Astyanax mexicanus: one gene and its partner. The protein of the gene in region 2 interacts with the protein of the main gene of each other region in a pairwise test. Links are inferred from orthologs where the notes say so. Each region holds a gene or a part of one and is shown on either strand. Other genes may lie near its edges.

Region 1 (5,842 bases), on a different chromosome or scaffold from region 2:
GTATATATGTCTGTCATTATCAGTACAGTGATGGCGGCACCCGGAGCTACAAAGAAGCACTATGGGATGTAATGTCAGCGCTCTCCAGATTCTACCAAGGAGGTGTGGAGCTACTTTGAGCCTGGATAACAGTGTAAAAAACGATTTATCGGGGCAAAATATGCCCTGATACGGCTGTTGTAAAGAGTGCTGGGCAAAAAGCACAAAATTACTGGATCTCAGAAAGCTGTAGGAGAGCAGAGGTAGGCTATTCAACAAAGGTAAGTACTTTTTATCATGTTTTACTATATCAAAAGTCAATTTTACACCAGAGTTCTCCATTTCATTGTTAATTTTATCAGTTCCACTGACCATATAGGAGCACATTGTATTTATATAGTTAGACTTTTTCAATTGGTCGATTAGTCAATGATTATTTCTGCCATGTCCTTCATCTCTAAAAATTATAGAAACAGCTGATCATGATACATTAAGATGCATTTAAATGCCTAGATGCTGTTTATACGTGGAAAGTACGGACATTTAGTGGGTAAATATGTAATGTGTTGTGTTTGGGCACTTTTGGAGACACTGTTGGAGACACTGTTGGAGAGTGTGACCTGTTTGAGTAAGACATTTACCTCGCTCCCATTGCACTTCTGTCTCCATTACTTTGTGTAATGCAATACTGTTACAAATTAACGATTAATCGACAGTGAGATAACCAAGATTAATCCCTGGACAGAGCACCAGCCCCCCCATTCATTCATTCATTCATTCACACACTCATTTCCAGGGGCAAATTAGGGACAGAAACCAAAGTGGGGCCCCTGGAATATTTTTCCTATTAAATCAAATCTACCCTGATTAAGATTTACAGCCTTCATGTCTGTGTTTCCTCTTTGTTTTCAATTACATGTTAAACCACAAAAATGAACAAAGAACCCTGAGCTATGAGGAAGAAACTTCCAAAACGATCTGTCTTATCTGTCTTCTCATTCTTTTAGTTCTTTCAGTGATTACAACCAGAAAAACAGCATTTCTCACATTCTTCAGTCGTGTCCGCCATCACAAAAATGTGAGCGGAAAATGCCAGTAACATTTACGCATTATTCTCGATTCTCTTGACAGCGCAGTAAAGCATCAACATCAAAATAAAAACTGTTTACCATTATTTTTGAGGATCTTAACAGCCACCTTGACCATGCCTTTCCAGGTGCCGCGGTAAACATCAGCGAAGAATCCAGACCCCAGCTGTTCCTCCAGGGCGAACTCCTCCTTGGGCAGCTCCCAGTCGTCCACAGTATTGTGGGACAGGTCCTGTGGCTTCGGCTCTGGCTATAAGAGGAGAAAAACAACAGGGGAAATGTGTGTTAAGCATTATTAGGCATAAGTGTAGGCCTGATGCTGTAGACTACTCTTATCTGTTGTGCTACCATGAAATTATATAGAGCTGTTTATGGTCATTCTTACTCACTGGTGATTCTTACGCATGCCCATATTTCCTGCTTTACATCACACAACTTCAAGAACTGATAGCTCACATGTTTTACAATATATGTATATCCCAACACAATATTATTCAATTAACATCAGTAGTTATAATGTTATGGGTGATCGGATGTATCCACAGTAATAATCAATTAGTACGGATATTTTAAATCCACACCCCTGACCATATCACAGCTGTAAATAAGCTCCTGTAAATAATATGAGCGGGGGGCGAGTGGCATTCAGAACAACAGCAACAAGTATTTCCGGAAACAATTCCATCAGGGCTCAGCAGCAGCAGTCCGAGCAGATTTCTCCCTCCTATTAAATCATTTTCACTCCAGTTACCTCACACATAACACATGAGCCAATGAGTGAGGTCATAACTCACGTAGCTCACATACAGTACACACTCACCCGTGTGCAGGGCTCTCCGAGGAGGGTGCCGGAGCTCAGAGGATGGCTTTTATAATGCTCCACTAACTGCTCCAGTCCGGGGAAAGTGGAATCAGGGTCCACATAGAAACCCTCCTCATCCTCATAAACTTTAAAGTGCTTCACCTCCTTATCGCTTAGTCGAACTAACAGACAGAGAGAGAGAGAGAGAGAGAGAGAGAGAGAGAGAGAAAGTGGGATATTAGATTAGATTATTATACATGAGAGATCCTATTATCCTGAATTTGCATTAAAAAAAACACAGTATCGATTAGAGATGCATAATAATATGGGAATTACATCAGTATGGATCGATAATTCCCTTTTTCTTTTTTTTTAACCATTGGAATCGGATGATATGGCCAACATTTCAAACTGATATTTGCTGATGTATTTATTGTATGCTGGAAAAGGACCAAACAATGCTTTCTGTGCTACTACAACTGGCCATGTTACTTTAAAATATATTGATTTAAGCTCATTTTTGTTTATTTTTATTAGTTTCAAAGTTACCAGGGTATCTAGCTTCTTCTCTGTTATAAATATGCATATCGGCATCAACGTCAACAGATATATAAAGGCTTAGAATTCCCACATCGGTGTATCCCCAGTATCTATATATTTTTTACAATTATTTACATGTAAACATTGGTGTCAGACAGTCGTTCATTTAGTGTTGTAATTAAACCCTGCCCACTAGATAGCAGTGTGGAACTCACAGTTATTTTTTTTTATATTAAAATAATCACGATACATCACCTACAGTGTCACAATTAATCACAATATATTGAATTTTAAGCCCTGTACTGTTCTACATATTGTATACAGCCCTAGTGCAGAGGGAGTCTATTTTGTATTATACCAGTTTGCTAGTTTAAACTATGCCATCCGCAATATGGTGGTTTGGAAAGAGAAAGGAGAAAAGGAGTCAACATTTATTAGTGTTCAAACACTAGTGATTAGTGATCAAACTGTCCTTTTTTTTTATTAGTCAATATAATATTTTTATTTTTACACCTTACACATATTTTTTACACCCTATTTAACTACGCAATGGTGAAAAAAGTGGAAAAATAAATTCTGAAAAAAAGAAAAATTCTGTTTCAGAAAATTTTAATTTTAGTGGATCCCTACCTGTCATGGGAACAAGATAGAGATTGTATTTACACAATTTTAGACTGGGAACTGGAAAAGGGGGGATTGTAATTTTATAACACCTCTAAATGAGAAATATACAATGACCTTCTTTCACTTCACATAGACAAGTCACAATGTACTGCACTGTACTTCTGAACAATTCACTTACCTGACAGCACACAGCCCACCTCATCCCTTTCACTGCGTCGCAGCAGAAATGCACCGACCTTGTTACCTGCGGCCAAAAGCAGTTTCTGGGTCTCCAGGCGATTCAGTGACCCAAAATACCATCTGAAAAAAAACAGGAGATGACATTCTTCCTCACCAGGTAATTTAATTTTCTTTGACTAGTGAATTACCGTAGTTAAAAGGGAGTGCAGATGTTAAATCCTTCTGGATCACACTAGGGACCTGAACAGATCTTAGATATTGTAAGTATTATTCTGTGTCCCATCTGAACCTGGATGTTAGGATTTCTGAGTTCCAAATAGGACATTTTAACTGGAATGCCCCTACAAGCCACATTTCTCACAAGTCAGAAGAGCCTCATGCTGTGCTTCATTTACCTCAAACATTAGATATAGGAATGACATCACAACCCAACAAAACCCATCTAAACAGAGGTACGATACAAGTACTTTTCTGTACTTAATGTACACTTTTCGTAATTGTACCCTCAAAGGTATAATATTCTGTATAATAATATTCCAATCTTTACAGTGTCTGATGTGTTCCTTCAGAAGTACAAAGTATTTCCTTACAGCAGGTAATACAGATTTGTACCATTTAACCAGTCAAAATGTACATTCTGCATTCCGTATCACTGTACTAATAAACAACATATATTGTGATTATACATGTTTCATTTGAAATCCAGACAATTTTGGATCATCAAGTTCTTGACACATATTCAGGTGATGATGATGTTTATAATCTTTACTGGTACAAAAAAACATGGGTATAAAAAAAATAATTTTACTGAAAACTACTCTATTATACCTCAATATAAGGTACAGCCCAAGAGACAAGCTATATACTCTTTAAGTACAAATCTGTACTTACTTTTCTTAGTGTTTAACAGCAGGAAGTACAGATTTGTACCATTTTACCAGCCAAAATGTACATCCTGTGTTCAGTATCTCTATACTAAAAACAATACATATTGATGATGTTTATAATCTCTCTTACAAAAAACATGGGTACAAAAAATACTTAAATATAATTCAATAAAGGTACAGCCCCAGTTTTGTACTCTTTTAAGTACAAATCTGTACTTTTTTTCTAAGTGTGTTCAGTGCACAACAAAAATAAAGGATTTTTTTTTTTGCAGTTCCTGTACTTTAGGAGGGACTGTATGTGAAAACACTCACGGTTGTTCCTCCAGGGTCTGCTCTTTTGCCAGGTAGTTGGAGGGCACGAAGCCCTCAGCCTGTATGAGTCCCTGCGGGCTGATCTTCTCCACCCGACACCACTCTCCCTCCTGCTGCAGCATCCTAAACGAGTCTCCAGTCTGGAAGGAGAGCTCGTCCACGGCGCGGCCCTGGAAACTCCACAGCGCCTTATACAGAGCCCGGGCAGCTGGCGGGTCCGCTGGCTGGGCTGTGGGCGGCTGTGTCGGCGGCTGGGTGTAGTTGTAGGTGCCGATCTCTGGGTTCTCGAAGTTGGAGTCTCCATCTCTCTGCTCTGCTGCCTCTCCCTCCTCCTCCTCCTCCTCCTTCTTCTTCTCTGCCTGTGTGAAGAGGCTGGAGAGCAGAGTCTGGAGGCTCTGGAGACTCGGGCAGGGGCAGCGAGCCTCCCCCTCAGGACCCTTCATCTGGGTGGAGGTGAAGAGACTGAGAAGTGTGTGTCTACATCTCCTCAGAGTGTGTGTGAGTGAGTGAGTAAGGTGTGTGTGAGTGTTGGGGCGGATGTCTCAGGTTGGGCAGGTGTATTTATGGGAGGAGCTTAAAAAAGAAAAAAAAAAACTTTCCATAAAACAGTTGCTATTGGATCATTACCAGAATTGTTGTGGTTTGAGGTTTTCATAACTTTCAAGAAAATGAATTATGTAGGTAAATCATTGAAATGCCTACATTTATAAAAAACATCTACAAAACATTGATATATATATATATATATATATATATATATATATACTTTTAACAAACTTAAAAGAAAGGCTGTCAATCTAAACAGGCAGAATTGTGAAAGAGTGGTTCAGGTAGAATGAGATCATCATCTTCACACATGGATTGTTCACCACAGAGTCCAGACCGTAAAAAAGAGAACTCAGGTGTAAAATGGACTTTTGGTCTAGTAAAAACATGATAAAAAGACCTTACCTTTGTTGAATAGCCCAGCACTCTTTACAACGACCGTATCAGGGTATATTTTGCCTTGATAAATTGCTTTTTACATCTTTATCCAGGCTCAAAGTAGCTCCTCAACTTTTAGGTAGAATCCAGAGAGCCCTGACATTTAAAAAGAGGCATTAATAACTTAAAAAGTTCAAAAGAAGCTTATTAAAAACCACTGTTTACATCCCATAATGCTAACTTTCAGCTTTGTGTGCCACTATCACTGTACTGATAATGACAGACATGTATATACATAGACTCTGCATAGCCTGCCTCCTGGTGTAGCAGCCAGCGCCCAGTGCATTTAATTACATATATATATTATATATATATATATATATATATATATATATATATATATATATAGGAGGAGTTGTGGTTATTATAGGTGTATTAAACACCTTTCTCAGTGTAAGTAAATGCACTGGGCGCCGGCTGCTACACCAAGAGGCAGGCTATGCGGA
Region 2 (7,867 bases):
CTCTAATCAATCAATCTACAAAATATTGGCTTGCAAATTATTTCAGATTGCTTGAATTTGCATAATTTGTTGGACATCGCTGCTATCCAAAGCTACTGCACTGGTCAAAAACACCCCATTCTTATGACATGAACACATTTTGCATTATTTAGGAAAATCAGCCTAATGGTGGGCTCTTAAAAACAGGAGTAAAAACTGAACAATATTTCATGAACCAACTCACTGAATCAGTAAAACAAGGGCAATTTAGCAGCCTGCTCAAAGCGTTAGCCTCTCTTAACTTCAGCTGCATCACACTAGTAAACTCATTCATCATCCCTGTCTGAAACGGAGGAGCAGAAACCTCCAGCTGTCGTGTCACTGAGGTTGTACGTCGTCCCGGGGATGAGACGGGCTCTCTGAGATTTCCCTTTTAGCCTGATGAAGCAATCCAAGCATACACTAACACACAGAGGATACCGAACCCACAGGCTCAGACTCTACTTATGGAGCTGGTCTGAGAGCAGTCTACATCTGATCACGCTTCAGTGACTTAATGATAATGTCACATTCCCTCCAATTTCAGCTCTATCAAAAAGCGATGTTTCTACAATAAGAGATGATCAAATGTTAGCATAAGATTTTTGAGAAGAGAATTGACTAGGGGTGGGAATCAAAGGGCATATCCCAATAAGATATCACGATACTGTGATTTAGCAATACTTCATATAAGGCAAGACAATTCTCTACAATACTTCAATTCAGTTTTATTTATATACCGCTTTTTACAACAAATGTTGCCACAAATCAGCTTTACAGAGAAACAGGTCCACGCCTCTTATTAGTAAGCACCATAGTGATAGTGCCACCAGTGACGAAAGTGGGGTGGCAACAGTGGCGAGGAAAAACTCCCTTACACTAAGAAGAACCTTAGGAGAAACCAAGACTCAGTAAGAGGAATCCATCCTCCTCAGGTTGACCAAGATAGCACAAACAAATAACAGAACAAAAACAACTGTGATAATGGAGAGCTATAGCTAATGTAGAAACATGTTATGAATTATAGATGTGAGTAAGTGCTTGGCACATGCTCAGTGTTAATATTAAAGTCCAGGCAGTTTAACCATCCATATGTACAGCTTTGGAGTGTGGCAGGAATGGATCAATGCAGTTAGTTATTAATACTGCACGGCATCTGTGTTACTAAAAAGGGCAAAATACTAAATAATATTTTAAGTGATCTAGTTTTTCAAGAGATGTTTATATCACATGTTAATTACTCATATTACTCATACTAGCAAAGTTATAATGATTTACATTGACCTTACACTGAAAGTAAAGGTACTACAAAGTACTACTTTCTTGGAGGATTGCCATAAAAAAATATTTGGTGCCATAAAGAAGCATTTTAACAGATTTTAAAAAATGAGGTTGTAAAGGTTCTTTAAAGACTGGGCTGTTTATGAAAAAAAATTGAAAACAAGCATATTTTACAGTAACATAATTATACAGCTAAATTTTTTTCTATATGTATTTCTAATTTTATCTGATTTCTCCCCAATTTGGAAGACCAATTACCCACCCACTCATTAAGGCTCCCCCTGTTAGTAGTAATAGAATACCATCAACAATGGTAGCACGAAGAAGGCTAGGAAATGCCTCCTCCAACACATGTGAACCCAGACACACCTCTTTTGTATTTGCATTAATAGGTCTGTTTGGAGTGATGAGGGGAGAGAGCGCCATCTACTTACCCAGAGAGAGCAAGGCCCATTGGGCTCTGTTAGACTCCGGATGCTGATGGCAAAAACCCAGTAAATCAAACCGAACAATGGACATTACTAAAGTGAGCAAAACTTATGAGTTCATATCTTCAGACATAAAAAAGTGGAATTTCTCAAAGAACTACATAAAGCACCTTTATTTTAAGAGTGTATATTGCATATAAATCTTCCATACGCTGTCATTTTTTCCTGCACTAATGAGTTTCTCATATTTACACTAATACTTTCCGAACACAAAGATAGCCAGTAGGATCATTTTACTGTTGGTTTGGTCGAGTTGAATTTGATATTCCCTCTATTGTCCAAACAAATGGAGTTTTTAAGTCAGAAAGCCCCACACCCTCTTAAAACGTCTTCTGAGGTGTCATTAAAATGCGAGCATTTCTTTATCCATCATTTACTTTGTTTTCTTATTTAGTTAAAAACACACACAGACACCAGTAAGTTTGAGACCTTTGCATCTGTGTCTGTATAGACCTAATCTACTTCAGAGCTCCAAGCCCAACATACCTGAGGAGGAGCTTGTTGACCCCCTAACAGCATGAAAGGGTAAAGCTGCTGCACTCAGGCACGCTACATCTCCCTCCATACCCCCATCCCTCATTCCATCCCTCTATCCCTCCATCCCTCAATCCATCCCTCACCCCAGGCTCTGAAACACAGAAGCATTAAAACACACACACACACACAAGCATAATCCAACACACAGGAGCTACTGAAGCCACAGGATCAGACTCTGCTTATGGAACTGGTCTGAGAGCAGTCTACATCTGATCACACTTCAGTGAGTGATAATGTTACATGGTAATGACAGTGTTACTTTTAATTTGAGCCTAAAACTAAAGATGAAGGTGATACAAAGGGTTATTTGAGCGATGGTATAGAACAAAACTATTTTTGGTTTCATTAAGAGCTGTTTTTATAAGAGATGTGTATAAAGAACCATGAAAGACAAAAAATGGTTCTTTACTTGCATCTCCCTAAGAACCATCTTGGGTAGGGCTGCATAATTAAAAAAAACAGTCATTGCAGTTTCTCTAAGATATATATACTGAGATTTACAAAAAATACACATATTTATCTGTCCAATATAATTTCATTAATTTAATTTAATTTACCCCTCACTTTCAGTATTTCAGTGATTTTGGAAAGGGGAAAGTTAAATATAATGTTTTACACTAACTTTCCTGTTTTTGAATTTAGCCACAAACTGTCAGAAAAATGAACTTAAAAAGGTTATTACTGACCATATCGGATTCCTGACTTTTCTGTTTGTAAAACATTAACAAAAAACAATGTTTTCCTTTAATCATATCAATAACACATATAGAAACATCTACTGCAATGTCATTTTATTTCTTCCAATATCACGCAACTCAACCTCTTAACCTCAAACCCTCACAAAACATATCTTTCTTTGATTTTATCAAATTGAAAACCTCTGAAATATAATCAAGAGGATGGATGATCACAGCCATCAAACCAAGCCCCTGCGTGATTTTTTGCACCAGGAGTGGCATAAAGTTATCCAAAAGCAGCGTGTAAGGCTGGTGGAGGAGAACATGTCAAGATGCATGAAAACAGTGATTTTGTTATTTTTCAGCAAATGAATAAATGCTCCAAATGACAATATTTTATTTCGAATTTGGGACAAACAATGTTCATAGTCTATAGAGTAAAAGAACAATGTTGATTTTACACAAACATATACCTATAAATAGCAAAATCAGATAAACTGATTCAGAAACTAAAGTGGTCTCTTAAATTTTTCCAGAGCTGTAAGTTATATACATATGCATATGTTTTACTTCCTTTTAGGTAGTCATGTAGTTAGTTAGTTATCACTTTTTTTTTTTTGCATGAACACACCTGAACACCTGAAGTTTAGCCAAGTAATGATGAAACCACACACACACACACACACACACACACAGAGCAGTTAACGAGTCAGAGCCCTGTCTGCTTCTGTTCAGACCTGTGAGTCCCCTAATCTACTTCAGAGCTCCAAACCCAACACACCTGAGGAGGAGCTTGTTGACCCCCTAACAGCATGGCGGGGAAAAGCTGCTGCACTCAGGCACGCCTCTACATCTCCCTCCATCCCTCTATTCCTCTCTCATTCCATCCCTCCATCCATTTCTCTATCCTTCCCTCCATTCCTCACCCAGGGCTCCCAACCGCAGGACCATGAACAAACAAACAAACAAACGTTTATAAACACCACCAGCATTTCATACACAAATAATACACACATATGGTGATTATAGAGACTTACCCGGGGACACTGTACACAAATACCGGACAGAAAAGGGATAAATAACCGGATAAAGAGGGTAAAATAATCCTGTTACCTTCAGCCAGAAGGCGCATAGCGTGAACAAAGGTCGTGTCCAGCGTTTCCTTCTCGGCCATCAGCTCCGGCAAGTACTTGTCCTGATCCATAACCGGCCACCGCTCCTCTCCTGACCGCGGCGAGAGCAGGTGAGACACAGGGGAAGAAAGTGCGGAGAGGCGGACGGGACTGTGGTCTGACTTCGCCTGAACCCTGAGGAGAACTGACGGAGCGGATATCGGTACAACACCGGCTGCTTTCCTCCGTTAGCTAACGGCTGTTTTAATAACGGCAGCGTTATTCAAACCAAAAAATAAACACTCATATCCTCCTCGCGCTCGGTTTAAACGCAGGGCTCTCGTGCGAAAGCTCCCCGCCTATAGCCACGGAATAAGCGCGCTGGCCCCGCCCCCCTCACTGCTGATTGGCTGGGTCGGAGAAGCGAATTCTGGAAAGCGTCAAACAGCATCAACGCTAACGGTATGTAACGATATAATAAGGTATACTGCGGTTAATCACGGTATTCTGTGGATAAATACTAATACTACCGTAATGTAAGATTTGTTGTCTTAAAGGGGACATATTATATCTCTTTTTTACACAAGTTAGACTGTGATGTCATGGGGCTCAGAGTGGTTCAGCGGACTAAAGCCCAATTTATACTTCTGCGTCGAACCTATGCTGTAGCCTGCGCATATCCAGGGGACACATTTATACTTCTGTGTGTGCGTATCAACAGCTCTGCATCGCTCTGCAGTTTAAACCGCGAAGGTGGGAATATGTGCGTGTAAAGCTACGGCGTAGGGTACGCAGCGATGCGTAGGCTAAGGCGTAGGATTGATGCAGAAGTATAATTTGGGCTTTAGGCGCTGCCACAGCGTTCAGGAGATCGCTGGTTAGAATCCCGTTTATGTAGCTCGCCATCAGCTGCCAGAGCCCCGAGAAATCACAATTGGTCTTGCTCTCTCTGTGTGGGTAGATGGCGCTCTCTCCCCACATCACTCCAAAGGGTGATGTCGCTTAGCACAAGGCGTCTGTGAGTTGATGTATTAGAACCAAGCTTGCTGTGATGCTACTCAACAATGCTGCATCAGCAGCAGTTTAAAAACAGGTGGAGCCTGACTTCACATGTATCGGTGGAGGCATGTGCTAGTCTTCATTACCAGTGAAATGGGGGAGTCCTAATGAGTGGGTTGGGTAATTGGCCTTGTACATTGGGAAGAAAATTGGATTTTAAAAAAGTATCAGTGATGTCTGTATCTCTTAAACCATTTTTTTTTCAGTAACAAGTAATCCAACACGTAACTATTTCCAATTAAAGTTACTCATTCACGTCACTGTGTATTATTTTTGGTCATTTTCCTTAGTAAAAAGATATTGTATTGATGAGAAAGATGTTTACACTGGTCGATTTATTGCTGGAACTTACGTTTGCTGTTGATGCTATAACTCATCTAGGGATGTGTGTGGATAAGTGCTTGTGTGTGTTTGAGTGCTAAGTGTAAAATGATTGCATGTGGAACATGATTGTAAAGCGTCCTTGGGTGTCTAGAAAGGCGATATATAAGCGTAACTTTATTCATTCATTTAAGATGGTTAAGACGGATACAGACAGGATAGACAAACAGCATGACCACTCTGGTCGATCAGCAATGTCCAAAATAACCAAAATCAAATGCAACACTAGTAAGTTGGTCAAGCGTAGTGCAAGGTATGCTTTCACTTGAATGACCAGCTTTTCAAACATCTTAAGAAATTGAAGCCTAGCTCAGACAATCCAAATCCAGCTGCCAGCAAAAACTGATCTTGACCAGCATAGGGTGTGAGTTTATTTGTTTAGCTGGTCTACAAACAAAATTAACTATACAAGCTGATCAATCAGCATGATCAACAAGACCCAGCTGGATGACTACACTGGCCTAAATCAAAAGCAACATACACTATGCTACTCAATAGCCAATTAACCAGATAGTTGGTAACACTTTATAATACCGGTACAGGGTATGTTTTCAACTGGATGAGCATCTTGACCATCAAAGAGCAGCTTAGACTATGCAGAACCAATTGTTAGAAAAAAATGGCCTTGACCAGCATAGGGTTGTAGTTTGATGTTTTAGCTGATGTTCAAGCATAATCAGTGATCAAGCAAGGCAACCAGTATGACCAAACTTGAGTGTGCTGGTTGACCAGCTAGATCAAGCTGGTTGATTAACATGGCCATGCTGGTTGACTAATATGGCTGCGCTGGTTGACCAGCATGACCATTATGACCAATTTTGTCAACCAGCATCACACACAAGCAAAATCAATGCAGCATGCCAAATTCACCATGCTGGTCAAAAGCTGGTGAACCAGCTAGACTAACAGCATGTTTTTGTCTAGCTGGATGAACAGCTTCCAACCACCTTAGCCATCAAATACAAAAAAATTGCTTTAGACCTTCCAAAACTAGCTAACAGCAAAAGCTGATATTGAACTGGATTTTTCAGAAGTGCTTCAGGCACTAAACATTAAAAAAATTCTTTTAAAATAAGGAGATGGTTAAAACCTGTAGTTGAATACTAAATCATTGGTTTACCTTTACAGATTTTGAAGAGTGGTCACTCACGGCCTCCAATGTCAATGTCAAGTCCTTAGATCCCTAACAGAAATTCTCCTTACTGGACCATCATGTTGGACTTGTGCTGAATTGCCTTGGGCTGAGCATAAAGAAATAATCATACATGTACCTACATACATAACCTAGATACATAAATACAAGATGAATTATGGCATTGTGCTTCATTTCTGGAGCTGTTTATTCTTGTTTGTGGTACCAAAAATGTGCGAGTTGTAAAGTGGTTTAAGACTAATGGCGCTTGTGTGGGAAAGGTAAGCTAACAAATGAAGCAAGGTGAAATCTGTCTTAAGGAAGACACTTGTTCCATATTTATGGCAGGGCACAAAGTCAGCTCAATTTGTCGTGTCCGTGAATACTAATCAATGGCGTTTCTGTATGCCTCGGTTTGCCAAGATGGATTAGGCATTTGTGACAGGCAGTCTATAGAGGGAAAACATGCACAAACAAACACAAGCACACACATTCACACACATACACTTAAACACATGCACCAAAAGAGAGAGAGAGAGGGGCAGGGAAGTGGGGAAAGACAGAAGGAGGAGGAGGAGGAAGAAGAAGAAGGCCTGCTTGCCTAATTAATGACTGAATGGATTACTGTGCTGTTGGCAAACATCTGTACACCCAGTGTCACATTCAGCGACTGCCTTGTGAGAATGTTCATAGAGCCTCGGTCCACTGGAACGCGGTGATTAGACGCCATGTACCAAAAATTGGTCTTTCACTCATGCGGGGACACTGCACGCACCAGTAACCATCAGTATTTATCAGATGTTTTCAAAGTAACAGTGGTTTATAAAATGATATCCAATTGATCTACCGCAGTCCAGTGCAGAATTGCCCCTGCACATAGTCTGTTGACTGGCTTCTGATTTAAGGGAAAGCAGGACACAGCTAAACGCCACATTCTGGATATTTAAAAATGGTTTATCCTAACAAAATCTACATATCTCTTCCACAAATTAAAATTAGATTTTGTTCCCGGCACAATCTATTTGTGGAAAATTCAGCACAACAGGGTAACATAGCCTAAAGGCAAGGTTAATTGTGACTGACAGAGTGGCTAGCTGAAACAGTCAGTTGAAAAAAGTAGATGCGAACCCAATTAATTAGTTGTAATTCTATGTTGATGTTTTTTTAAGCAGAGGAGATTTA

The links.
Region 1: the proteins of khdrbs2 (region 2) and ptk6a interact in binary tests that used the Homo sapiens proteins (3 or more experiments, as listed by UniProt). The two-hybrid records come from large-scale screens. The link is inferred for Astyanax mexicanus from reciprocal best matches to the Homo sapiens genes KHDRBS2 and PTK6.

The regions. Positions count from the first base shown.
Region 1 is NC_064419.1:39,950,987-39,956,828, forward strand, and holds the start of ptk6a (protein-tyrosine kinase 6), read right to left. Parts: upstream 4,873-5,842; 5' UTR 4,856-4,872; coding exon 4,413-4,855; intron 3,334-4,412; coding exon 3,212-3,333; intron 2,052-3,211; coding exon 1,888-2,051; intron 1,318-1,887; coding exon 1,149-1,317; intron 1-1,148. UniProt on the Homo sapiens protein: Non-receptor tyrosine-protein kinase implicated in the regulation of a variety of signaling pathways that control the differentiation and maintenance of normal epithelia, as well as tumor growth.
Region 2 is NC_064414.1:43,133,600-43,141,466, reverse strand, and holds the start of khdrbs2 (KH domain-containing, RNA-binding, signal transduction-associated protein 2), read right to left. Parts: upstream 4,452-7,867; 5' UTR 4,206-4,451; coding exon 4,115-4,205; intron 1-4,114. UniProt on the Homo sapiens protein: RNA-binding protein that plays a role in the regulation of alternative splicing and influences mRNA splice site selection and exon inclusion. Binds both poly(A) and poly(U) homopolymers. Phosphorylation by PTK6 inhibits its RNA-binding ability.